7 linked regions of the Callithrix jacchus genome follow. The protein of the gene in region 6 interacts with the protein of the main gene of each other region in a biochemical or structural test. Links are inferred from orthologs where the notes say so. Each region holds a gene or a part of one and is shown on either strand. Other genes may lie near its edges. The genes, in order: SRC, PRMT2, CDKN1A, FOXO1, AHR, ESR1 and TBP.

The links.
Region 1: the proteins of ESR1 (region 6) and SRC form a complex in vitro, tested with the Homo sapiens proteins (3 studies listed by BioGRID). The link is inferred for Callithrix jacchus from reciprocal best matches to the Homo sapiens genes ESR1 and SRC.
Region 2: the proteins of ESR1 (region 6) and PRMT2 form a complex in vitro, tested with the Homo sapiens proteins (2 studies listed by BioGRID and IntAct). The link is inferred for Callithrix jacchus from reciprocal best matches to the Homo sapiens genes ESR1 and PRMT2.
Region 3: the proteins of ESR1 (region 6) and CDKN1A form a complex in vitro, tested with the Homo sapiens proteins (2 studies listed by BioGRID). The link is inferred for Callithrix jacchus from reciprocal best matches to the Homo sapiens genes ESR1 and CDKN1A.
Region 4: the proteins of ESR1 (region 6) and FOXO1 form a complex in vitro, tested with the Homo sapiens proteins (2 studies listed by BioGRID). The link is inferred for Callithrix jacchus from reciprocal best matches to the Homo sapiens genes ESR1 and FOXO1.
Region 5: the proteins of ESR1 (region 6) and AHR form a complex in vitro, tested with the Homo sapiens proteins (4 studies listed by BioGRID, with this or other methods). The link is inferred for Callithrix jacchus from reciprocal best matches to the Homo sapiens genes ESR1 and AHR.
Region 7: the proteins of ESR1 (region 6) and TBP form a complex in vitro, tested with the Homo sapiens proteins (2 studies listed by BioGRID). The link is inferred for Callithrix jacchus from reciprocal best matches to the Homo sapiens genes ESR1 and TBP.

The regions. Positions count from the first base shown.
Region 1 is NC_133506.1:32,821,717-32,825,216, reverse strand, and holds part of SRC (proto-oncogene tyrosine-protein kinase Src), read right to left. Parts: 5' UTR 2,887-3,500; intron 2,603-2,886; 5' UTR 2,595-2,602; coding exon 2,345-2,594; intron 683-2,344; exon of another isoform or gene 682-682; coding exon 582-681; intron 362-581; coding exon of another isoform or gene 313-361; coding exon 295-312; intron 1-294. UniProt on the Homo sapiens protein: Non-receptor protein tyrosine kinase which is activated following engagement of many different classes of cellular receptors including immune response receptors, integrins and other adhesion receptors, receptor protein tyrosine kinases, G protein-coupled receptors as well as cytokine receptors.
Region 2 is NC_133522.1:52,221,362-52,224,861, reverse strand, and holds part of PRMT2 (protein arginine N-methyltransferase 2), read right to left. Parts: intron 1,419-3,500; coding exon 1,257-1,418; intron 329-1,256; coding exon 164-328; intron 1-163. UniProt on the Homo sapiens protein: Arginine methyltransferase that methylates the guanidino nitrogens of arginyl residues in proteins such as STAT3, FBL, histone H4. Acts as a coactivator (with NCOA2) of the androgen receptor (AR)-mediated transactivation.
Region 3 is NC_133505.1:44,985,176-44,988,310, reverse strand, and holds part of CDKN1A (cyclin-dependent kinase inhibitor 1), read right to left. Parts: intron 671-3,135; coding exon of another isoform or gene 666-670; coding exon 239-665; intron 1-238. UniProt on the Homo sapiens protein: Plays an important role in controlling cell cycle progression and DNA damage-induced G2 arrest. Involved in p53/TP53 mediated inhibition of cellular proliferation in response to DNA damage.
Region 4 is NC_133506.1:159,848,055-159,852,270, forward strand, and holds the start of FOXO1 (forkhead box protein O1), read right to left. Parts: upstream 2,801-4,216; 5' UTR 2,369-2,800; coding exon 1,742-2,368; intron 1-1,741. UniProt on the Homo sapiens protein: Transcription factor that is the main target of insulin signaling and regulates metabolic homeostasis in response to oxidative stress.
Region 5 is NC_133512.1:41,104,486-41,107,985, forward strand, and holds part of AHR (aryl hydrocarbon receptor), read right to left. Parts: intron 2,015-3,500; coding exon 766-2,014; intron 1-765. UniProt on the Homo sapiens protein: Ligand-activated transcription factor that enables cells to adapt to changing conditions by sensing compounds from the environment, diet, microbiome and cellular metabolism, and which plays important roles in development, immunity and cancer.
Region 6 is NC_133505.1:158,660,676-158,664,175, forward strand, and holds part of ESR1 (estrogen receptor), read left to right. Parts: intron 1-261; 5' UTR 262-331; coding exon 332-783; intron 784-3,500.
Region 7 is NC_133505.1:177,196,179-177,198,817, reverse strand, and holds the end of TBP (TATA-box-binding protein), read right to left. Parts: intron 1,938-2,639; coding exon 1,843-1,937; intron 1,167-1,842; coding exon 1,087-1,166; 3' UTR 501-1,086; downstream 1-500. UniProt on the Homo sapiens protein: The TFIID basal transcription factor complex plays a major role in the initiation of RNA polymerase II (Pol II)-dependent transcription.

The sequences.
Region 1 (3,500 bases), on a different chromosome or scaffold from region 6:
GCCTGCATGCAGCAGACATTTGGGTGGGCTGATGGGGCAGAATGGAAGGGTGGGTGAGTAGGGAGGGGGATGGGAGGAAGTGTGCAGCAGAGCGCAATGGAGGGGCCCCTGATCACAGCCTGGGGTTACGGTCCAGGACCTGGTCACACTGGTGGTGGAGAGAGGAGAAGCTGGGAGGTGAGGAGCAGCCAGAGAGCCGGAGACCACAGGCAGGGAGAGGAAGCACATGCAGACAGCGGCCCCGCCCCCTGAGAAGCACCCACCCAGCCCGCCACCCACGGAGCACGTACACACCTGACATCCACCTTCCTCCTAAGGGCCAGCAAGAGAGAAGCAGAGAGAGGGAGAAGCTGAGAGAGGGCTGGAGAGAGCAAGCGAGAGCCAGGGATTGGGAGGAGTTTCCCGAGGCTGGGGAGACAGCAGGTGCTGCCCAGGGCAGGAGAGCAGCAGGTGCCTGGCTCCCTCCGTGCTGCCCTGGGCTCTGCACTGCGCTGCCCCGATGGCAGATTCTGCATCAGCCCCCACCAGCTTTCAGGTTCCAGCACCCAGCCCTGAGGGGCAATGGGGAAGGGGCCACTCACGTGTTGTTGACGATCTGGAGCCGCTCGCCTTTCTTGAAGGACAGGTCTGTCTCCGTCCTAGACTCATAGTCATAGAGGGCCACAAAGGTGGTCACTCCACCTGCAGAGAGGGGTGGGGTACGTCAGAACAGTGGGGCCACGGCCAGGCAAGGCGTGGACAGGAGGGTCCTGAGCCCAGGAGTGGGGGTTTGTCTCCCACACGCCACAAGTGCCCAGCCCAAAGACACGGTCGCGTTCAGTGAGGATGGACCTGTGCACGTGTCCACCGCATCCGTGTGTCTGCGAATCCCTGCAAGGCCCTGTGGGGGCATGAGAGTCCCTCCCTGTCTGCATGCACCCCAGGGGCTTTGGGCAGTGCTAGGTGCTGGCTTATCTGTTTGGTGCCTGTCTTGCTCTAGGACCAGAAGTACCCAATAGCAAGCATCTCTGTTTTGTTCCCAGAGTCAAGCACATAGTAGGTGCTCAAGAGAGAGCTGTGGGCTGGATGCAGCAGTGAATGAAGACCACTGCACCAGGGAAGCTTGCTCTCTCGCTCAAGCTTGTCACTCTGGGCACTCCTGGGTGTCCAGGAAGATTTGGCTCCTAGTAACTGCCCCCTCAAAAAGCCCCCCCATGCCTCCATTTTAAGCTACAGCCTTCACCTCCACACATCCCCCAGTCCTCCCTCCCTCCCTGCCCGTTTTGCACCTTTGCGGCAGCACCACTTCTAACACCCTGCACAGCCTGCACACCTGCCCTTTGCTTCCCTCCCCCATGTGGGTTCTGTCTGCACTGCTGGGTCCCGGGCAGCAGAGGAGACCTGGCTCGTAGTCGGGCTCCACCTAAACTTGAACAAATGAATGGTGTGTCTGTGGGTCTGTCTCACTTGGGCATGCGTCTGAGGGGTCCAGGGCTGTCAGTGTGTCTCTGCATGCCTGCATGTTCTCAATGCACATGTGTGCATCTGTCGTCTGCGCGGCCACGATGGTGATTTCCAGCTGCGCCTGTCTGTGTCCTGTGTGTGTCTCTGAATGAGCGTCTGACGGCATGTACGTCTGTCTTCCTCTAGGAGCGTGAGGTCACCTATGCATGTGAGTTTGCGTCTGGGTACGTCTGCTTTGGGTATGTATCTGCGAGTGTCTGTGACCCTGCCTCCACTCCGCACGTGTGCGTGTCCGGGGCAGGGGTGCAGACGCGTGTGAGCGTGTGGGGAGAGTGCACCGGTCTGAGTGAAGCCTGCGTGGAGTGTCTGGGCCACAGACGCGGCTCTCCAAACGGCCCTCGACGGGGGCTGCCGTGCCCGCAGACCGCCAGCAGAGGGCGCACAGGCGCATGCATCCTGGCGCGGGCCCAACCCGGGCCGCCGGCGCCCGGTTCCCCGAGCAATCCTGCGGCCCCTCCGCCGCACGCAGGTCGCACTTCCCTACTCATCTCTGGGCCTCTGGGCGGACCCGGGCAACGAAAAAGGCCTGGGCGCCAGGCAGCAGCCTCAGGCCCGGTCCCCGCGCCGCCCCCCTCTCTGGGCCTCAACGTCCCACTAAGACACCACCACCAGTCCCCGCGTCCTCTGCGCCTACTCCACCCCAAAGGCGGCGGCGGCGGCGCTGGGGAACTCGCTGTGGGCACGGCCCTCCCGGCACACCCAGGTCACCCAGGGGCGAGCCTCCTGGCGGGAAGAAGGGCCCGCACAGAGGGGGCGATCCCGGGCACGCCGCCCCGCCGCCGCCGCCGCCGCCCCGCTGTGGCCCAGCAGGGCGAGGACCCTGCGCCGCCCGCGCACTGACCGGCCAGCGGGCCCGCCCTCTGCGGGGAGGTGACGGTGTCCGAGGAGTTGAAGCCTCCGAACAGCTTGGGCTCGGCGGCCGCGGGGGCGAAGGCCGCGCTGGGACCGCGGTGGCCGTCGGCCGAGGCTGGCTTGCTGGGGGTCTGCGAAGCGGGGAAAGCGCCCCCGCCGGCTCCGTGCGCGTTCTCGGAGGGCTCCAGGCTGCGGCGCCGCTGGCTGGCATCCTTGGGCTTGCTCTTGTTGCTGCCCATGGTCCTGGCTGGAGAGAGAGGGGACCCTGGAGTGGAGGAGACGCTAGGACAGGCAGGGCTGCCGGGACCCCTTGGCCGGCCTCCCTCCCACCCAATCCACAGCTGGGGAAAACGAGGCCCAAAGAGGGGCACCAGGGCCAGGCGCGGTGGCTCACGCCTGTAATCCCAGCACTTTGGGAGGCCGAGGTGGGCAGATTACTTGAGGTCTAGAGTTCAAGACCAGCCTGGCCAACATGCAGAAACCTTGTCTCTACTAAAAATACAAAAACTAGCCGGGCATGGTGGCACGAACCTGTAGTCCCAGCTACTCAGGAGGCTGAGGCAGGAGAATTGCTTGAACCTGGGACGGAGGCTGCAGTGAGCCAAGATCCTCCCAGTGCACTCCAGCTTGGGCAACAGAGCAAGACTCCGTCAAGAAAGAAAAGAAAAGAGAAAAGGGAAGAAAGGAAGATAAAAAGAAAAAGAAAAAAAAGGCGGTGGGCACCAGCCTCTTTGGATGAGTTGGCCTCTCAGAACCTCAGTATCTTCATCTGTAAAATGAGCTTAAGGATGGCATCCATCCATAAAGGGCTTCCTCCATCCAGGGCCAGGAACGGAAGAAATGCCTCATAATCAGAAGCCCTGACCTTACCCACCCACCTCTCCCTGAGTCACTGTTTCCCTTTCTCCTGGTCAGGGACAGTATCTGACCCACACCTGTGTCCCAGGCACCTAGCACATGGAGGGGGCTCACTGAGGATTCGTTGAATAAATATGTGTCCGACGCTGAGGAAAGGTGCTAAAAGTGGCCATATAGCGGCAGGTTTGAAGGAGAGATGGCTGGAAGATCACTGCAGCCACAAGACTTTCGCACATGTGGTTCCCACTGCCCAAATGCTCTTCCCTGGCCACTTCACCAGGGTAACT
Region 2 (3,500 bases), on a different chromosome or scaffold from region 6:
ACTGAGCCAATGTCCACACAAGAAATTAATCATACCTCACATTAGGGGAAAAAATCAAAATGAATCACGTGTCACTCTTGAGATCCTGAGGTTGGCCCAGCCAAGCCTGTGCTCAGAAGCCCCCCGAACCCCGGCCCCCCGCTGCCCGCACGCCCGCCCTCACCAGCAGGCAGGTCCCCATCCACTCGGACACCAGCACATCCACCTTCTCAGGGAGCACCACATCCTCCACCTTCTGCTGGAACACAGTGATGATGTCGGCGAAGCCATTCTGCAGGACCAGCTGCCCCGTGTGCTGTGCCATCTCGCTGGCCTCCACCGCGTACACCTGCAGCAGAAGCACCATCAGTGCATGCCCGGCCTGCATGGGGCCCGTCATCCACTCTCTCCTGAGTCAACACCACCAGCACCATGAGAAACGGTCAACAACACAACAGGGAAGCAGCATTCCAGACAGCCGGAGACAGCGAGGGCTGGGCCACACCTGCCCCTCCGGGATACCTAGAAAGGTGCCACCTCTAACCCTCCCGACTGCCCCTACCTCCTACACAAGACGCAGACGCAGGGCTGCAGGTGGCCTGAAGACTCGAATGCCCGGGCTGGCTGCCACACACACAGCAAGCTTAATCCATGACTGGCACAGCGAGTGCTGAGCACCCAAGTGACAGTGCTGGTCTGTGCCACATCTGAGGCCTGTGAGACAGTTTCAAACCCAGGTTCATAGGGAAGGGTCTGGTGGGAAGCGCCCAAGCGCTGGGTCCTGCAGAGCATGGCCCTGGGTGGTCACTGTGCTGAGATCCCACCCACCATGTCAGGAGCCTCCAAGGCTGCTGTTTGGCTCAGCTAGCACAGCACAGATGGCCAAAGAAGGGTAGGAAGGGGGCCAGCATGTGGATTCATCACATCCCCATGAGGCTGTCCACAGCCAAGGCCAAGCACAGACATGTGGGTGCACCTGTTTCTCTACTCAACTGAAATAAATGTCTCACAGAACATACCCTGCCCCATGCAATTCATGGGATATTTTCTATTCTGCCCTGTTCCTGTCCATGCTGTTTGTGGCTCTTTATGCCGGCGCCACAGCCTCTAGCATGGAGTCTCAACACTGCTGTTTTACCGACCCTGAGCCCCACGTGCAAGGACGTAGTCACCAGTGAGCCCCCAACAGCACAGGGTCACGAGTCGGCATCTCAGAGGCCATGTCGGACATCACCGGCCTTGACGCACACCTGGGACAAGCTGGAGACCCCACTCACCACTTTAGGCCGTGCATAATGTGCGCAGAAAAGACTGATGATCCCAGTGCCACAGCCGACGTCCAGGATGACCTTGTCCGTCAGGGACTCCTTGTTCTGCAGGATGACACTGTGGTACTTAGTTGTGCGCGGCTGGTCTGCCAACATTTCCAAGTGCAGTTTCTGGGAGAAATGCACATTCAGAATCACTGCCTTGACCCAGAGCCATGCCGAGTCCTGACTGAGATGAGGGTCAGGGCCACAGCTGATGACGCTTGACCCTGCCACCCCATCTGAAAAGAGCAAAAATACAGGCCTGTGAGTCCCTCAGCTCAGCACAGCATGGCCGGCAAGCAGAGAGGCAAGAGGGACCGCTGCACATAGGGGTGCAATGTCGCCTGGACCACCCATGCCCACCTGAGGCAGGAGGGACCACCGCAACCCAACCAGACTCCCCAGTGCCAGGTGTCTGACTAGAGAAAACTGCGGATACGCCATGGGAGAAACGCCAGCGCAGGTGGGCAGGGGGTCCCCCAAAGTCCTCTGTCCATGAACTTGCCCCTCATGTCCTGAGGGATAAGCGAGAGGCCCAGCCATTTCCTGAGGGAGAAAAATGCCTGAAACCCAAGGATACTCACATGAGAATCAGCCATCCCGCAAGGAGGCAGAGAGAGGCTTGCTCAGGGCAGCCTGAAAAGCCATGGGCTGCAGGTAAGGCTGCACCCCTCCCACCAAGACTCTCAAGCTACAGAAGGCCCAGCCTAGAAACAGCATCACCAGGAAGAAGACAGGTAGCAGGCGGGAGCAGAGTGAGGACAGCGCCCAGACCAGGAGCCTGCACAAGGTCCTCAGAGTGAGGACAGCCAGCAGACAGGAGCCTGCACAAGGTCCTCAGAGCTCACCATGGAGCCTCCCAAGACTCTGCAGAATAAAAAACAAAGGGACCGGCAGGAGGAGGTGGGGGGCATAGACCACAAAGCAAGGCCCAATTCTCCTGCCCGGAAGCAAAGGATGGGAGAGGCCTATGGTGCCAACACCCATGAAGACAGAGCAGGAGCAGCTGCGTCAGCACCAACAGAACCCAGTTCAGAGCAACACGTCAACACAGAATCAATTCACCCAGAGCACGTGATTATTCTAAATACTTCTGTACCTAATAACAGGTCTTCAGAATACACACAGCAAATCCAATACAGATGCAAGAAGAAACAGACAAATTCACAATTATCGTCAGAGATTTCAACACTGCGCTCTCAGTAACTGACAGAAATAGAAAAATCAGTAAGACTGTGGAAGGCCTGACACTTCACCCAACCCCTTGTAACAGTCATAATAAAAAATGTCTACGAATAGATTTAACAAGAAAGGTGCACAACCGTGTATGAGACAAACCTTAAAATGCTAAGAGATATTAAACAAAGCTTAACTAACAGGAAACTGAGAGTCAACGTTATAGACACGTCATTTCTCCCAAAATTAACATCAACATTCCATGCAGTGCCTACTAAAATGCCAGCCAATCTGCATGGAGGAGGAAGCACAACAAAATGACAATAAAAACAGTTTCAAAACAAGAAGTGCCCAAGGCTAATGAGGAGAATGCTTTTTAAAAAAAGTGCGGGGGGGACTGCTGGAGACCTAGCTCTTGCAGATCCTACAAAGGTGCAATGATGAAGCACCGGGCGCCGCAGAGAAGTAAACAGACCAGTGAGTCAACAGGAATTCTCAAGCAGACCCCTGACATCCAGAGCACCACAAACACAGCATTTCACATCAGTGGGAAGGAACCGTCCAGTAACGGAGGCTGGGGTGGCTGGATATTTGTGGGCATAAATAAGGGTGGAATTTTACATTATATTTTTTATAACAAATAAATTCAAGATTGATTTAAAATCTCATTGTTTAAAAGAGGATAAGGCCAGGTGGGGTGCCTCACCCCTATAATCCCCGCACTTTGGGAAGCTGAGGTGACAGGATCCCCTAATCCAGGAACCCACAGTAAGCTATGACTTAACAAAGTGACCCCATCCCTAAAAAACATAAAAAGTAAAAATAAAATAACACAGAATCAAAAAAGGTGTGGGTATTTATAATCTTACGGCGAGGAAAGGTTTTTCACAAAGGAAAGAACAACCTATTCGGCTATACAAAGAAAAATGTTCTGTGGGGGAAAAAATTCACAAAGTCACAAAAATTCACAAATTCAGGCTAAATTACTTAACATATGAATCAACAAAAATCAAAAGAAATGGACAAATAATATGA
Region 3 (3,135 bases), about 110 Mb from region 6:
ACATTGCATAAGGACTAAATAAATCTACCTTAGAAGCCTGGCAAAAGGCCTGGCATAATATAAGGTCCCCACCAATGTTAGCTAGTTGGTCTTGGCTGCCTACTTGCTGTGTGACCTCTGGGTCTGTTCCCTTCTACCTAAGGAGCACACTAGACCAGGACCGGACAGGTCAGCCCTTGGACCATGGACTCTGAGAATCCTGGTCCCTTACAATGTCCTTCCCTGCACCTGTCCTCACCTGTCATGCTGGTCTGCCGCCGTTTTCGACCCTCAGAGTCTCCAGGTCCACCTGGGGACTCCTCAGGCCGCTCCCCTGAGTGAGGCATTAGGGTGCAAGACAGCGACAGGTCCACGTGGTCTTCCTCCGCTGTCCCCTGCAGCAGAGCAGGCGAGGTGCCAGGCCGCCTGCCTCCTCCCAGGGGCCCTTTGGGAAGGCAGATCTTGGGCAGGCCAAGGCCCCACACACGCTCCCAGGCGAAGTCACCCTCCAGTGGTGTCTCAGTGACAAAGTCGAAGTTCCATCGCTCACGGGCCTCCTTGATGCAGCCTGCCATCAGTGCATCACAGTCGCGTCTCAGCTGCTCGCTGTCCACTGGGCCGAAGAGGCAGCGGCGGGCCTTGCTGCTGGATGGGTTCGGACGGACATCCCCAGCCTGTTCTGACATGGTGCCTGCAGCAGAGACACAAGGAAGGCCCTGGTCACCGCGGAAACTGGACACTACACTACCTGGCTGGGCTTTGCTGTGCCACCTCATGAGGTCTTCCTACCACAGGGTCTCTCTGACTCCTTCCAGCTGGTCTTCCTGCCTCCATCTCACAGGAGGCCTGACCCCCACCAGCAGAGCTCAGCCAGCCTGTCACCCCAAGGTCACTGGGGGAGCAGGCAGCTGAAGGGCAAGCTAATGTCAACAAAGTCAAGTTTATTGCAAAAGCGAGGATCAGGGTCCTGTTTACCACCAGGTATTATCAGCTAAAATCAATTTGTTTTCCCCCCGAGGTGTCCCTCATGGGTGTGAATGCCCCCAAATACGTGTGAATTGCCAGAGTCCAGCAGTTTCTGAATCCCAGCCCTGGCCAGGAGGTCAGTTCCCAAATAAACAGTCTGACAGTTCCTCCAGCCTCCTGAACCCCCACCCAGATGCCCGAGTAGGGTAACCCTACTCAGCCGAGTAAAAGTACCCTGGACTCTGGGGCAAAAAGCACCTGGGTTGTGGTCCTAGCTCTGCCACTTACTACCTAAGTTTTAAAAAGCCACTTACTGTCTCTAGGTCTCAGTTTCCTCACCCATAAAGGGGGCCATGTGCAAGTTTAAAGAGCATGGCTGGGCTGGGCATGGTGGCTCACGCCTGTAATCCCAGCACTTTGGGAGGCCAAGGTGGGCGGATCACCTGAGGTCCAGAGTTTGAGATCAGCCTGACAAACATGGAGAAATGCCATCTCTACTAAAAATACAAAATAAGCTGGGTGTGGTGGCACATGCCTCTAATCCCAGCTACTCAGGAGGCTGAGCCAGGAGAATCTCTCAAATCCAGGAGGCGAAGGTTGTGGTGAGCCAAAATCGTGCCATTGCACTCCAGCCTCGGCAACAAGAGCAAAACTCTGTCTCAAAAAAAAAAAAAAAAAAGAGCATGGCTGTGGACACATACTCAAGCAATTGATTGGGGAGTCCACCCAGCAAGGCAGATGGAACAGAGCTGAATGAAAGGCTGTATCTTGGGGGCTAAGCGGAAAGGCTCTGGAGCCAGATCGCCTGGGTTGAAGTCCAGGTTTTACTAAATGACCCTGGACAAGCAACTTAACTTGTCTGAGCTCTATTTTCCTCATCTGTGAAATGGAGATAGTAATGGTGACTGTCTCAGAGGATAGATGTGAGGATTAACTGAGTTAATGTAGGTAAGGTGCCAGCAGCACTTCATATACAGAAGTGCTTGGAAAATGGAAGTGTGATTATTTCTGTCTGCCTTCAGTTTTACTGAGCCTCCTCCCTATCACTTCCCCCTGCCAATGATCCCCTTCAGACAGCAGCTGACAGGTGCTGTAGGCTGAAGCCCTTTCCCAAGGATGTCATCAGGCGGGTGGCCTAGGGGTAAGGAGGGGCTGGGCGGGGCTGGGCAGGGCGGGGCAGAAGATAATTTCTCCCAGGCTGAGCCACATCCTGCCAGGCACATCAGGTGATCTGAAGTCTAGACACCTGGCAGCCCCTGCCCGGTGCTGCCTGTGTCCAAGGAACTCGTTTTGCAGACAAAGAAAATTAAAGGTGGCTGATCTACCTGGCTCCTCTCCTCCCACTTCAGGAGAGGGAAAACCAAGGGTGAGTTTGCCAATGAGGGAGCCCTGGCACCTAGCTGCCCGCTCTGGCTTGACTCCAGGACTGAGGGACTGCACGACCTTGGCAGCAACTGGGTTTTCCTAGGGACAAGTCCCAACTTGCAGGCTCTAGGGGGTGAAATCTCTGCTGAGTGTTCCTGAGGCAGGAAGCCTGGGACACATGCCACATCTGCTCCATCCCACCTCACCCCACTGCTTGTGATCAGTTTCACGTCCCAGCTGGTTGGGAGAGGAGGTGCTTGGTAACCTCACACCAAGTTTAAAGGGCAGGAGATGGAAGAGATACGAGACTTGCCCCCAAGTCATACAGCTAAAAAGGCCAAAGGCCACTGCCCCATAAAGGAGTCACACAGTACAGTGGACAGAGCCCTCAAGGAACCTCTGTCTACCCTCTCCTAGGCATGAGTTGGGATTCATTTGTATATTTTCATGTATGGGGGCTGTTCTAAGCAGTTTAAAAATGTCAATCCTCTAAAAAGTGAATAGCTATTTGCTCCCTTTTTACAGCAGAGGTAACAAAGGCTCAGAGAAGTTAAGCAACTTGTCCAGTGTCACACAGTTCATAAATGGCAGAGTCAGGATCTGAACACAGGCCTGTTTGCCCTGAGTCCTGTGCTCTAGTATTGAACCTACTCCCTCTCTAATTTTGAGGTTTCTTAACCAGAGAGTCCCATCAGAATCAGTTGGGGAGGCCAGGGGCAGTGGCTCACACCTGTAATCTAATACTCTGGGAGGCTAAGGTGGGGGAATCATTTGAGCCCAGGGGTTCAAGACCAGCCTGAGCAACACAGAGAGACCCTATCTCTA
Region 4 (4,216 bases), on a different chromosome or scaffold from region 6:
CTCCTCCAGGAGCTTCAATACGGTGTGAGTAACTTAACCTTTTTGACACGCTTTAACCACAGGGACGACACTATGTAAAATAACCTTGGTTTAACAACTGCGCAGCAAACACCAATCTTTATTATGCTATACAGTCGACAAGAGAGGCGAGGAAAGTTTGTTTTAAAAGGTGTTTAGCTCGGCCGGGCGCAGTGGCTCACGCCTGTTATCCCCAACATTTTGGGAGGCCGAGGTGGGCGGATCACGAAGTCAGGAGATCGAGACCATTCTGGTCAACATGGTAAAACGCCGTCTCTACTAAAAATACAAAAATTAGCTGGGCGTGGTGGTTCCTGCCTGTAATCCCGGCTACTCGGAAGGCTGAGGCAGAGAATCGCGTGAACCAGGGAGTCGGAGGTTGCAGTGAGCCAAGATCGCACCACTGCACTCCAGCCTGGCGACAGAGCGAGACTCCGTCTCAAAAAACAGTGTTTACTCAACTAGTCAGCCTTTACAGCAGTTCTGCCACCGGTGACAGTGAGAAACTGTCAGCTTGGGGAGGCCGCGCGGCGACTGGACCTCGCCCCCGGGAAGCCTCCCCGGACCTAGCCGAGGCCCTCCTCGGAGTCGGTAAGTGCCTGCCCCCACGCTGAAGTGCCTCCTGGCCACGTTCTGAAAGGCAAAAATCCTCCTTCCAGGCTCCGCTCCCTCAACGCGCACCGCCACTCCGACTCCGTCAAAACACTGGTCGCAAAGCCCCTCGTCTGGCCCCCAGCTCCCCCATCTGGACCTCCCCGCTCAAGAATAGGGTAGAGCAAGGCAGGAAAAGACGCACACATCCCAGCCCCCGGCACCCCAGGGCAGCCTCTGTGTTTCTAACTAAAAGCCTCGTACCAGGGGCAAGACCAGATTCGGGCGCTTCCCCCATGGGGAAGCGCGGGCCCCAAGGCGCCCGACCCGGACGCGCTGGCCCTTTAAAGGCACTAGCTTCCTGCGCCCAGAGCCCCTCCCTCGTCACCGCCCGCGCCCGCCCCCGCCGAGGGTCACACTTGAACTTTAGCTCGCCCCGCGCGGCCGGGCGCCGGCGCTCCGCAGGCGGTGGCCGCCCCTTCGCACGTGTCGGAGGCGCCACCTCGGGATCGGGACGCCCGGCCCCCTGAACTCGAGGCCACTCCGGAGAAAACCAAAACAAAGCAAAATGCGCACCGCCTCCCGAAACTGCGTGGCCGGACTTACACCGTCCCCAGCCGATCGCGCTCTGCCAGTCCCCTCCACCTGCAGCCCCGTCCCGGGGCAGGGAGGCTCCGGGGACCCTTTCCGTGCCCTCCCCCGCCGCGCCCGGCGGAAACAGCCTCGCGGCGCGGCGGGAGAGGACCCGCCCTCGCCCCGCGGAGGTCAAGGAGGGAAGGGGCAGCCGAAGCAGTCAGCGCGGGCCGTGGGGGTGCCGCTCCCAGCGAACCCCTTTCTCCTTTCACTGGCAAACTTTTCGGCCGCTCTGACGTCCACTTCTTGACGCACGTTCTTTACTTAGTTCCCCAACGAACCCCTGTCCGCGTCCCACGCGGACTCTGGCGCGCGCGCACACCTACTGCGGTCCCGGACGGACCCGGGCGAGCCCACTGCGACCACCGATTCGCGCCCGCCCTCCTAGGCACGCGCTGCCCTCCTGCCCCGCACCCTCGGGCCGAGCAAACCTGCACAGCTGCGCCCTCGCCTGCCCCACCGCGCCCCCAAGGTCCGGCCGCGCGCCGAGGCCGCTCACCTTCCAGCCCGCGGAGCTGTTGCTGTCACCCTTATCCTTGAAGTAGGGCACGCTCTTGACCATCCACTCGTAGATCTGCGACAGCGTGAGCCGCTTCTCCGCCGAACTCTCGATGGCCTTGGTGATGAGGTCAGCGTAGGACAGGTTGCCCCACGCGTTGCGGCGGGACGAGCTGCTCTTGCGCGGCTGTCCCGCGAGCGGCCCGGCGGCGGCGGGGGGCACTGGTGGGTGCTGCGGCAGCGGCCCGGGCGGCGGGGGCTGCGGCGGCGCTGGGTGCAGGCAGCCCGCCTCCGGGCCCTGGAAGTCCCCGCACAGTCCCCCGGCGGCGGCCACGGCAGCCGCCGCCACCGCCGCCGCCACGGAGCCGGGCGCCTGCGGGAAGTCCTCGTTCTCCTCCAGCAGGCTCAGGTTGCTCATGAACTCAGCGCTGACAGCGGCCGCCGAGGCCGAGGGCAGGCCCGCCGCGGCGTCGGGATTGGCAGCCGCGCCGCCCGACGGCGCCGGGCTGGAGGTGGCCGAACTGGACTGGCTAAACTCCGGCCTGGGCAGCGGCCAGGTGCACGAGCGCGGCCGGGGCAGCGGCTCGAAGTCCGGGTCGATCTCCACCACCTGGGGCGCTTCGGCCATGGTGACCCCCGCCCCTCCCCCAGCCGCGAGAGAGCCGAGAGGGGAAGAGCGCAGCACCGGGGGCAGAGGGCGAGGGGGCGCGAAGAGACGGTCCGGGATTTGGGGGGACGAAGCCGGTGCGCCGAGCGGACGGACACTGGGAGGAAGGCGCGGCGGGGTGCAGGCGCGAGCCCAGAACTTAACTTCGCGGGGCCATCCACATCCAGGCTCCTCGGGGTCTGCCGCACGGACTGGACGGCGGGCCGGAGCCGCCGAGCCGGGGCACAGCCTGCGCCGCGCTCCCGCTGACAGGGCCGCGGACGGAAGGACGGACGGACGCCGCGGCCGCTCGCTTTGCCCGGCGGCGCGCCCGCTGCGCTGCTGCCTGTTGAATGTGGCGGCGGCGGCGGCGGCGGCTGCAGCAACTACGAGGCCGCCCGACTTACGGGATCTGCCGCCGCCCCCCGCCCGCGGCGACGCGCGCGCCGGCCCGCCCCTGACCGACAGTTCGCGCAGCCAATGGGCACGCGGCACCGCCGCCCGGGCAGCCAGTGCGCTCCGGGCTGGGCGGGGCCCGGTTTTCCGCCGGGAGGCGGCAGTGGGCTGGTGGGGGTAGCGGGGTGTTTTTCTCTTTCACACACCTTTTTTATTTTTTTTGGATCTCTGTTATTTTCTGGTAATTCTCGAGTGTTTCTGTGATTCTCTCGCCTTCTCAGTGTTTTGATTGCTAGGAAGCAAACCAGCGTGGAGGTGGCGGCGACACTTTGTTTACTACGGAGCTGCAGAGCCGAGTACTCTGGAAGCCCGGGTGGGACGAGGCGCTCGCTACGCCCTGACCTCGGCTGCGGGCCGAGTCCCGCGAGCGGGCAGGGCCGGGGGCCGGGGGCGCGGGGTGGACGGGCGGAGGCGGCCGCGCAGAATTCTACCCAGTAGCTCCCTCCTGGCTCCACCCACGAAGTCTTTGCTGAGCAACGTGGGGAATCGCTGGGTTTTGTTTTGGTTGAATGTTTTCTTTCGCTGCGATCTGTCAAGTCCTCCGGCCCCCGCACGGGCGGCACGCGCCCCCCGCCCCAGGCGCCGCGGCCCCCCGCGGTGGAGTCCGCGCCTAGGGTGCCTTCTCCGCGCCCCGCGCCCACCTGTCCGCACCCCCGGGCTCAGCCTGTGCCTTTCTGTCTAGCTGCGGACGCGTCGCCCAGCCGAGCAGCCCCCAGCCGGATTTACTGTATCCTTGACCTTTTTTAAAGGGCTAAACGTGAGGAACTGGGACTCCGGCGCCCGGAGGAGGTACTCCGGTCTCAGTGCAGACAGGGATCCAAAGGCACCCGCAACCGCCTGCCCTCCGTGGGAACTTCTTCCCCTGGGCGGGAACTTCCAGCTTCGTCCACTGAGTTCAGGGCCCGCAGCGAAGGGCTTAGGAACGCAGTTATCGAGAACCAAGACACTTTACTACCTACCCCTAATTAAATTTAACTGTTTGTTATTTTATATTTACAACGGAAGTGATCGGGTGTTAAGTAAAAACGGCGGGGGGGGGCGGGGGATAGGACCAAAGCCTTGGGGCGCAGCCTGCCCCACCCCCAAGTTCTTGAGGCTACTTGCTGTGTGCGTCAGTCAAACCCCCACCCACACCCCATCTTTCCTCATCTGGGCTGCAGGTCCAGGACATCCTGTCAAGGATCAGTGGGGCCAAAGGTAGGAAGATAATGGCCCTTGTGTCTCAGGGAGCAGAAGAAACAGTTTTCCAGTTTTGTTTTGTTATGCCTTTGCTTTTTTAGGAAGAATATGGAAGGCATTTCCTTTTAGAGGGATGGGACCACTCAGAATAGAAGATGGACAGTAAGGTTTTTAATATCTTGCCCAAAAGGACAG
Region 5 (3,500 bases), on a different chromosome or scaffold from region 6:
TTTCTGTTACCTTTTTTTTATTTAAGTGATCATTTTTAGATTTAAAGTGTATTCACTGCTAGAAGGATTCTGATGACACATTTAAACAATAAAAATATACTGTCAAGCTTGATTTCCATGACAGAAAGCTAGCTGAGTTACCTCTTTTAAGAAAGCCAGAAAAGAAACAAAGCAATTCTGCCTTAAAGGATAAAATGAAGATAGGGCAGGTAATGTGAGGAATAGCTAGAGAACATGGAGGCCTAGGACTTAATTCCAGGGATATAATCTAGGACAAAGGCATTATAAGAAAGCACACTTACATTTGAGTCTAACTCAATTTCAAACACATCCAAAAAAATAGAGCCGGGAAGAAACTATTCTTAAAAATTGCAATATGTTTATAAAGTTTGAATTTTTAAAAAGCCATATAATTTTTAAAGAATCCAGAAAGAATCAACCAAATTACCCATTTTAAATGTAATACTTTTAAAAACTAATTTCACTTGCTAATTTAGGTCATCTTACATTAAGGACACATTTATGTTGCTTTAGCCCTTGACACCTTTCTCCCTCATGACTCAGGTGAGTGATGTATTAGTAACATACTGGAAAAAGTACAGGCTTATGAAAAAAAAGGTAGTCACAGATATAATGAAAAATGCTGTCTCCATGAATGCTGTAGATAATAGATTAAAATCAGCGGACATAAAAAATGTGTAACATGTCTATTTATACGGTGACAAGAATCACTGAAAGATTCATTCAGTTTGTTAATACCCTTACCTTGTTTAAAAATGCCTGTTGACCTGGCAGTACTGGACTGTACTGCATCTGACCCACATGGGTGTGCTGAGGTTCTGGCTGGCACTGATACATCGACACAGACCCAGCATAACATGTCTGAGGGGTTACTATGGCTGACTGTGGATTTAATCCATGGTGTTGGTTTTCAGGAACTTGTAAACAAGTGACAAATTGTTCTAAACTAGAAGTAGTGGAGTATGGGGATGGTTCAAAACTCCCCATAGGATAGTCCAACTCTGTACATTTGGAATGTTGTGGTAATACAGACTGATTACAGGAAATAAAGTTCTGTGTATAAGGCATAGGATCAATCTCAGATTTGTAGGGAAACTCTTGATTGATCCCATGTACGTCTGAAAAGACATTATACTGTTGGAGGTCTTGCTGAGGACAACTGAAAGGCACAAATTGGGTAGAGTTCCAGTTTGCAAACATGCCATTGACTTGCATATGCTTCATTTTCTGACACAGTTGTTGCTGTGGCTCCACTACTACTTGCTTCTGGTGATGCTGTTGCTGCTGTTGCTGTTCTAGCTGTAGGTGTTCCTGTACCATACAGCTTGAGTTCAGGGCCAGTGACTGTTGCTGTTGGTAATCTGAAGGTACGAAGGCAGACTTATTTAAAGAATCTTGGATATATGTCAGGATTTCATCTGTTAAGTCAATGTCTCTGAAGTCAACCTCACCAGAAAAATCATTTCTGAAAAATTTTTCATTCTGCATGTGTTTGATGTCTTCAAGATCAATGCCTAGGTTTTTCATAATGCTGTATAAGTCAGTGTTTTTACTATCTTGAAAGAGCCCTGGGTGACCTCCAGCAAATGAGTTTACATCCTGAGACTGGTCAATTTGCTCATGTTTCAGGATAGTATCATTTCCCATTGATGCAGTATTATCTTGCCAATTTCTGCATTCATTCATAGATTCATTAAAAAAATTGTTGTCAAAAGGTGCAGTACATGAAGTACTTGAAGCAGGATAGAGATAAATAGACTCATCTTGTTGCATCATGGCAGCCAGGAGGGAACTAGGATTGAGACACTCCTTGTTTAGAGTTGATTTGGTAGCAGAATCTTTTCCACTCGTGCCATTTTTAGTCCTTAGTGGTAAGGGATCCATTATGGCAGGAAAAGGGTTGGTTACTTCATACAATACAGCTTCTCCAGTGGTAAACATAAAAGGCAACTTCGTATTTCGTTTTCGTAAATGCTCATTTCCTTCCTCATCTCTAAAATTGTGTATAAAAAAGTCTTAATAAAAATTATATCATAAACATTTAAAAATAAATATAATTACAAAAAGAAAAACAAGCAAAATACATAATTGAATTCAGAAGGGGACATATTTTATTTTCACCTCAATTATTCTCATGAGTAGTGCCATAAAATTGTTTTTCAGACAAGCATGTTTAAATAATTTAATTGTTAAAAATTAACTTAGTTAATTCCATGGTCAGGTTATATCCCTACCTGACATCCTGTAGAAAAAATAAGTTTGTGTGGAATAAAGATCTACACATAAAAACAGACTATAAGAATTTAGGGGCCAGGTGTGGTGGTACATGCCTGTAATTGCAGCACTTTGGGAGGCAGATGTGTGCGATTTGTTGAGCCCAAGATTTTGAAACCAACCTGGGCAACATGGTGAGACCCCTACCTCTGCAAAATAATAAAAGTTAGCTGGGCATGGTGGCACATGCCTACAGTATTGGCTACTGGTGAAGCTGAGGCAGGAGGATTGCCTGAGCCTGGAGGTTAACCCTAACCCTAACCTTAATGAGCCATATTTGTGCCACTGCATTCCAGCCTAGGTGATAGAGTAAGATCCCATCTCAAAACAAAATTAAAAAGTTTATGAATTAGAAATTTAAGAATCTGAAACAACTAACCTCTCTAGTAAAACCCAGAAACTATAAAGACATTACTGGTATACTTGGTAATATGAAAATTATTTAGTATTAATTAAAGTGTTTGTATTTTTGCAAGAGAATTCTTAAGGCATAAAGAAAATATTTTTAACATATATAATGTATTTATAATATATATATAAAATTTCATATCTATAATAGGTAAAAAGCTCCAATAGAGTCTAAGAGAGAGTCAAGCAACTCAAGAAAAACAGGTAAATGATAATACAAACTTGTAATTCAAAAAAGAAAAGTGTCCTAGAAAGATGTAACAAGATACCCTCCCTCATTAGTAATAAATAAATGAAACAACAAACATGTCTTATAACAGAAGCACACAAAATATCAACACATGTATGGACATATGAACTCCCAAAAGACAGAACATGTATTCTTTACAGGATTACATGGGATATTTTACCAACACAGACCATGTGTTAGATTATAAAATAAGCCACCACAAATTTCAAAAAACCTGAAGTCCACTCAGGGAATGTTTTCTGACTACAATGGAATTAAACTAAAAGTCAATCACAAAAAGGCAACTAGAAAAATCCCCAAACATCAAAAAGTAGAGTAACACCGTATTTATAAATAATTCACTAATAAAAATCAAATGAAAAGAAAATTAGCCAGTATTTTCAATTAAATAATAAAAATAAGACAGCAAAAGATGAGGGTTGTAGTTTAAGTGTTGTACTTAAAGGGAAACTGATATAATGTTTAAGTATATATATTTTTAAAAGTTAGAAAAAATTATATATTATACTCAAAGAAGGTAGAAGGAAGAAAATAATAATGAGCAGAC
Region 6 (3,500 bases):
GGCAAGGCAACAGTCCCTGGCCATCTTCCAGCACCTTTGTAATGCATATGAGCTCGGGAGACCAGTACTTAAAGTTGGAGGCCCGGGAGCGCGGGAGCTGGCGGAGGGCGTTGGTCCCGGGACTGCACTTGCTCCCATCGGGTCGCCAGACTCCACCGGACCCTCCGGCTCCCGGGGCAGGGCCGGGGCCCGAGCTCGAGTCGCGTCTCGGCAGGACATGCGCTGCGCCGCCTCTAACCGCGGGCTGTGCTCTTTTTCCAGGTGGCCCAACGGCTTCTGAGCCTTCAGCACTGCGGGGATCCGATCTGCGCCCTGCCGGCGGCCTCGGACCATGACCATGACCCTTCACACCAAAGCGTCCGGGATGGCCCTTCTGCACCAGATCCAGGGGAACGAGCTGGAGCCCCTGAATCGTCCGCAGCTCAAGATCCCCCTGGAGCGGCCCCTGGGCGAGGTGTACGTGGACAGCGGCAAGCCCGCCGTGTACAACTACCCCGAGGGCGCCGCCTACGAGTTCAACGCCGCGGCCGCCGCCAACGCGCAGGTCTATGGCCAGTCTGGCCTCCCTTATGGCCCCGGGTCCGAGGCGGCGGCGTTCGGCTCCAACGGCCTGGGGGGGTTCCCCACACTCAACAGCGTGTCTCCGAGCCCGCTGATGCTGCTGCACCCGCCGCCGCAGCTGTCGCCCTTCCTGCAGCCCCACGGCCAGCAGGTGCCCTACTACCTGGAGAACGAGCCCAGCGGCTACACGGTGCGCGAGGCCGGCCCGCCGGCGTTCTACAGGTACCCGCGCCCGCGCCGCCCGTCGTCGGGGTGGCCGCCGCGCCCGGCGGGAGGGAGGGAGCCGGGGGAGCCGGGGGAGCCGAGGGAGCCGCGGGACGCGCGACCCGAGGGCGCGCTCAGGGAACCCGGGGCGTGCAGCTCGCCCGGGGGTTCTGCGTGCAGCCCGCGATGCGTTCAGAGCCAAGTTCTCTCGCAGGGCAGCTGAAAAAAACGCGCTCTCCACCCATCTACAGTCGGTGCGAGAGGCAGACCTGAACGCCCGGGGCTTCCTAACTAAACACACGTTGGAAAACCAGACAAAGCAGCAGTTATTTGTGGGGGAAAACACCTCCAGGCAAATAAACATGAGGTGCCTTGAGTCACTTGGGAAGGTCCCGCGCTTGGCATTTAAAGCTGGGGTTGTTTGGAGTTAGCGGAGCTCAGCGGAGTTTTATTTAGCCTTTTAATGTTTTTGTTTAATGTGGCCCCCAAATTTCCTTTCATTTAGAGTCTTTGATTGGAAATTTGTCTGCTGTGATGACTTTCTGGGAAGCGATTCCCCTCCTCCCCACCCCACGTCCTGGGGTTTTAGAAAGCGATTGGGAGTTGAATGGGTCACAGCAAGTTTCTGATTTCAGAGTTAGCTGTCTGAGTCCGCGCTGGAGCCGGTGGCTGGCATGTGACTTCTGACAGCCGGAAATTTGTAGGTGTCCCGCGATTTTAAAATTAGCCGTATGGAAGCACGAATGCTTAAAAATAATCTCCCGGCAGCCCAGGGACGAGCCTGTCCCATCTGGGGAGAATACCCCGGAGTGTCCTACGGGGTCAGCGGGGTCTGCGCCTCGCAGCCACTGTGGAAGGAGCGCGGCCGGTCCAGGACATGGGAGAACACTTTGTGACTTCGATGTGAAGGTTTTGTATACTCCTTTTAATTTTTTTTTCCAACAAGAGTTGTTCTGTCTCCCTCTCCCATTCCTCCCATTTTCCCTTGTCCAGTTTCTCCTTTTTTTTTTTTTTTTTTTTTCCTGATGGGCCTGCAGAGGGATTAGGTGGGTGTTTCCGGTGAACACCTGCCTAGGTGGCCACAGGACAGGTGTACCCTGGACTGGGTTTGGGAGCTTCAGGGCACCACATGGCTGGTGCAGAATTAGGCATTTCCCAACTGTACACTGGTGTCTGGACTGGTGTCCCCACATCTTTCTGCTTTGTAAGCTGTGGACCATTTTTTGTTCAGTGTTCTATTTCCAGGGATCTTTATAGCAGAAGGATCTTAGAAGGGGACTAAGGTGCAGGTTGGTCCCAGAAGGTGCTGAAGGGCAGATTCTGGGGGTTTCCAGCGTGCATCTTCAGCCACTTTAGAGGAATTTAGAACATCCCACAGCCACACAGGTTCAAGCTGTCTTTACATAAAAGACAAACAATGAACAAAACTTTTAAAAGTTGGCGTATTTCAAATTAATTTTACTTCTTTTAATTTAGGATTAAAATAGAGAGAAAGGATTTCTTCTGCCCACCTTTTTTTTAAATGGAAGAATAAAATACAGCTATTAAGTCTAATTCCACACAACATTCTAAACTCCTTGATGTGAAGGAAGGCATTGGTATGATGTGAATTCCATAACCTTATGATGGAATCCAGAAACCATTTTTTCCTATTTAATTTTCAGTTCTTTTATTGCAAATTAATGCCACTGAATTTCAATGGGCACTAATGAGACTGCTCCTTGGTGGATTATTTACTGCCTTGCTAATAATTACGAAGTGAATCTGGTCAAATACAGAGGGGATCACATCTTTTTCAAAATTGTTCATCATCCCAGTGATAAGCAGTATCAGTGTAATATGCCCTATCTTACATTTTTTTTTGCATCAAATGATATTCAGATACTCTTAGAATAATAAAAAAGACAAGGAACTTAAAAGTTTAAAAAAAAACTTACAAAAATAGGACTCTGTGTGGAAATTCAGTTTTAGAAATTTTCAGTTTTTCCTGTGTTTTGTTTCCTGGAAAGTCTTTCCTCTGTTGTTAGAATTCTGCCTCTTATTAACCAGCAAGGAAAAGAAGGATCTATGCAATTCTTCATAAGGACAGATGTTATTTAGCATTTTTCCCCTCTTAGTTTTTCTGCTTAAGTAACTCTGAGTGTAAAGGAAAGGATCGGTTAGCCTCTTTTAGGGAACTTTACGTTTCTTAAGTAGTTATCAAAAGTTTTGAGACTGAAAGCAGTATTTTCAAACTGCTTGTCATGACCCAGAGGGTCATGAAACCAGTTTAGTGAGTCTAGGATATTCTTTTAAAAGGAATAAAACAGAAAGGAATATAATAGAAAATATCAGAATGTGTGGTATTTAGTAAGGATAAGTTTTGTTTCCTGAAAATCTGTTTTAATTATACATGCTTCTGTGTGCTGATTGTGATGTAAAATGTATTTCTTACTGTGGATTGAATTCAAAGAAAAAGAGAGCTAATGGCCTAAAATATTATATATTCAGTGGAAAATAAAAAATCAGGCAACTGTATAGTTGTTTTTATCTATACAAACCAAAATGCTATTTTGATTATTCTTATTTTTACCTTACAAATTAGGCTGGTGCCTTTAGTCAGTTCGGCTAAGCTTTACTATGTGATTCTTAGCTTTTTTATTTGTACTGTCCTCCTGAGTGTCATACTGGATGTTCAGAGAATTTACGTGCGGGTCACATCATTTAGCTTTGAGATGCTATGGTTACTTTCTTCC
Region 7 (2,639 bases), about 19 Mb from region 6:
CACCCTAACAATAAAACCTAAGAACCCACACATGTCCACCTGATATTCCATGAGAAAAAAAACAAAAACAAACTGTTACTGCAGAGAGATGGCAACCTGTGGATAGGACAGCAGCTTCCACACCTGAAGGACTCACTCAGAGCCCATCTGTACCACTTACTAGCTGTGTAACTTCAGCCAGGTCCCTCAGCTGGGGCCTGTATCTCCTCACCTCTAATACAGGAACAAAACCTAACTGCAGCTTTGTGAGGATTCCCGGCACTGTATGCAAAGTACCTAGAAAACAACAGTTGCTCAAAATATGGAAGGCAGTAAATACACATTTCCTGAGCAACTGTGAGTTCTTAGATCATTACTGTGTTTTCATTGCAGCATACAATGAAATATTGACTCAAACAAACAAGCAAACACCAAAATGGCTTCAGATGTTATATCTAAAATACAACTTTTTAGAAAACAGTGTGATCACATGACTCTTACAAGGTATCATAACAGCAATCTAACACTTTCATAAACTGCATTTATTGTACAGAGTACTCTGAAGGAAGAAAAAATATGTACAGCCATTCATTTTCATTAACACATGTATTCTGTCCTGCAATACTGGAGAGGCGGAATGTGTCTGGCACAGAAATAACCCCTAGGAGTTATAAATTAGAAAACAACACTTTTTAAAAAGATTTTTACTTTTCTGGTAGAAATATAAAAACTGTGGTTCATGGGGAAAAACATTAAAATTAAAAAGTCCAATCAATTGTAGAGGTGGCTTTAACCTTAAAAGTTTTGTCCCTCAAACCAACTGTCAACAGCAGTGTTTAAAATCTATGTATAAATAAATGGGCAGCGCTGCCCAAATAGCAGCACAGTATGAGCGACTCACAGTCATGCTGCGCGGTGTTCTCAGTGCACAAATAATGCCCCTTCCCGGCATCCCGTGGTGGGCACTTACAGAAGGGCATCACCTGGTGCCACAACCTGCAACTCAGCATCCATCTCCTCACACCACCACCATGTAAAGGTACCAAAACAAACTGATTTGTTTTAAAAAAACAAGTGGGTGGGGGAGGTAAGGGTAGATGACAACCATTACGTCGTTTTCCTGAACCCCTTTAGAATAGGGTAGATGTTTTCAAATGCTTCATAAATTTCTGCTCTGACTTTAGCACCTAAGAAGACAAGTTGGAGTAGAGATAAGAGACTGAAATGGCATTTCTTAACATATTAAGCAGGGAAAATTATTACCTTTAAACAACGCTGCAAGCACAAATCTCAACATACCCAGTCAGATTCAGGCACAGGCATGAAACCACTAATGGTGGAATCGCCTGTCACAATCTTATTTTGGTTTATAAAACAGTACTTTTAAACAGTCATTTTAGTGATTCTAGTGTCTCATTCTATAGCTCAAGAGGCATGTCCTCATACTTCTCTCCTTGGTCCTGAACCAGGCCATAAACCAAGCAGAACAGCAATGAAAACAACCAAATCTTATTCTCCCAATTGCTGTCTTCAACTAAGCTCTTTTCTGAATCTTCCTTTCTTGTCTTGTCATCATATTGCTGAAGAATCCTAAAGCTTCAGATAACTAATTCCAAGTGAAAACGCCATCTTTTATTCAATACAGTGCTCACCTCCCGCTGTAAATGAAGTCTACTTGCAGGGCTGTGGTCAGACTTCCCTGCTCTCAATGTGGCTCTAGTGGGCATGTTTCTCATCAGACTTTGGGTGGGAGGCCTTTGTAAAAGAAGCTAGCCCACTGTGCCAACAGGGAAATTTATTTTCAGCACTGACAAAATGCCATAACTTACAAACATTCAGATACCACTTTCTGTTACAACTTACCTGTTAATACAACTTTTCCAGAAACAAAAATAAGAAGAACAATTCTGGGTTTGATCATTCTGTAGATTAAACCAGGAAATAACTCAGGCTCATAACTGGAAGGAAAATTGTGAAAACAGTTTAGAAATTAAGAGACTTCCATGCTTTTAGATAAAATGAGGACCTGTACAAGGAAAAATAACTGAATAAACAAACAAACTAGTCAATAGGTAAAGCACAGTTCTTCAAGCAACATCAAGGACAGAATAATTAAAGCCACTGAGGCCGACTTGCAGTCATCACTTGATAACCACTGGATGGGAGGCTATTTGTCCTTTTATACTTTACTCTATTTCTATTCAATCTGGATTTTCTGATTTAAGAAAAAGAGCCCTGTATTTATGTCTGCAGTCTCTGATGACAATCATTTACTTTTACAGTCCTAATAATCATTTACTTCTAAGATCTGATACTGACAGTTTAACTGTTAATCATATCTCACCTCCTTAAATTGAAATATTCTCTAGCTGTTAACTGTGGTCAGGAAATTTAACCAAAGTGATATACTAGTCTGTGAATTAACTTATACCTGATTAAGCTGTCTGACTGAATGGACTATTGGTGTGTGTGGGGGTATATATATTAAGAATTATAAGAATTAAGAATCTCCTCCTAGTTTTAAGTGATTCTCCTGCTTTAACCTCCCGTGTAGCTGGGATTACAGGTGTGTACCACCACGTCCAGCTAATTTTGTATTTTCAGTAGACACAGGTTTCACCATGTTGGCCAGGCTGCTCTTGAACTCCTGACCTCAAGTG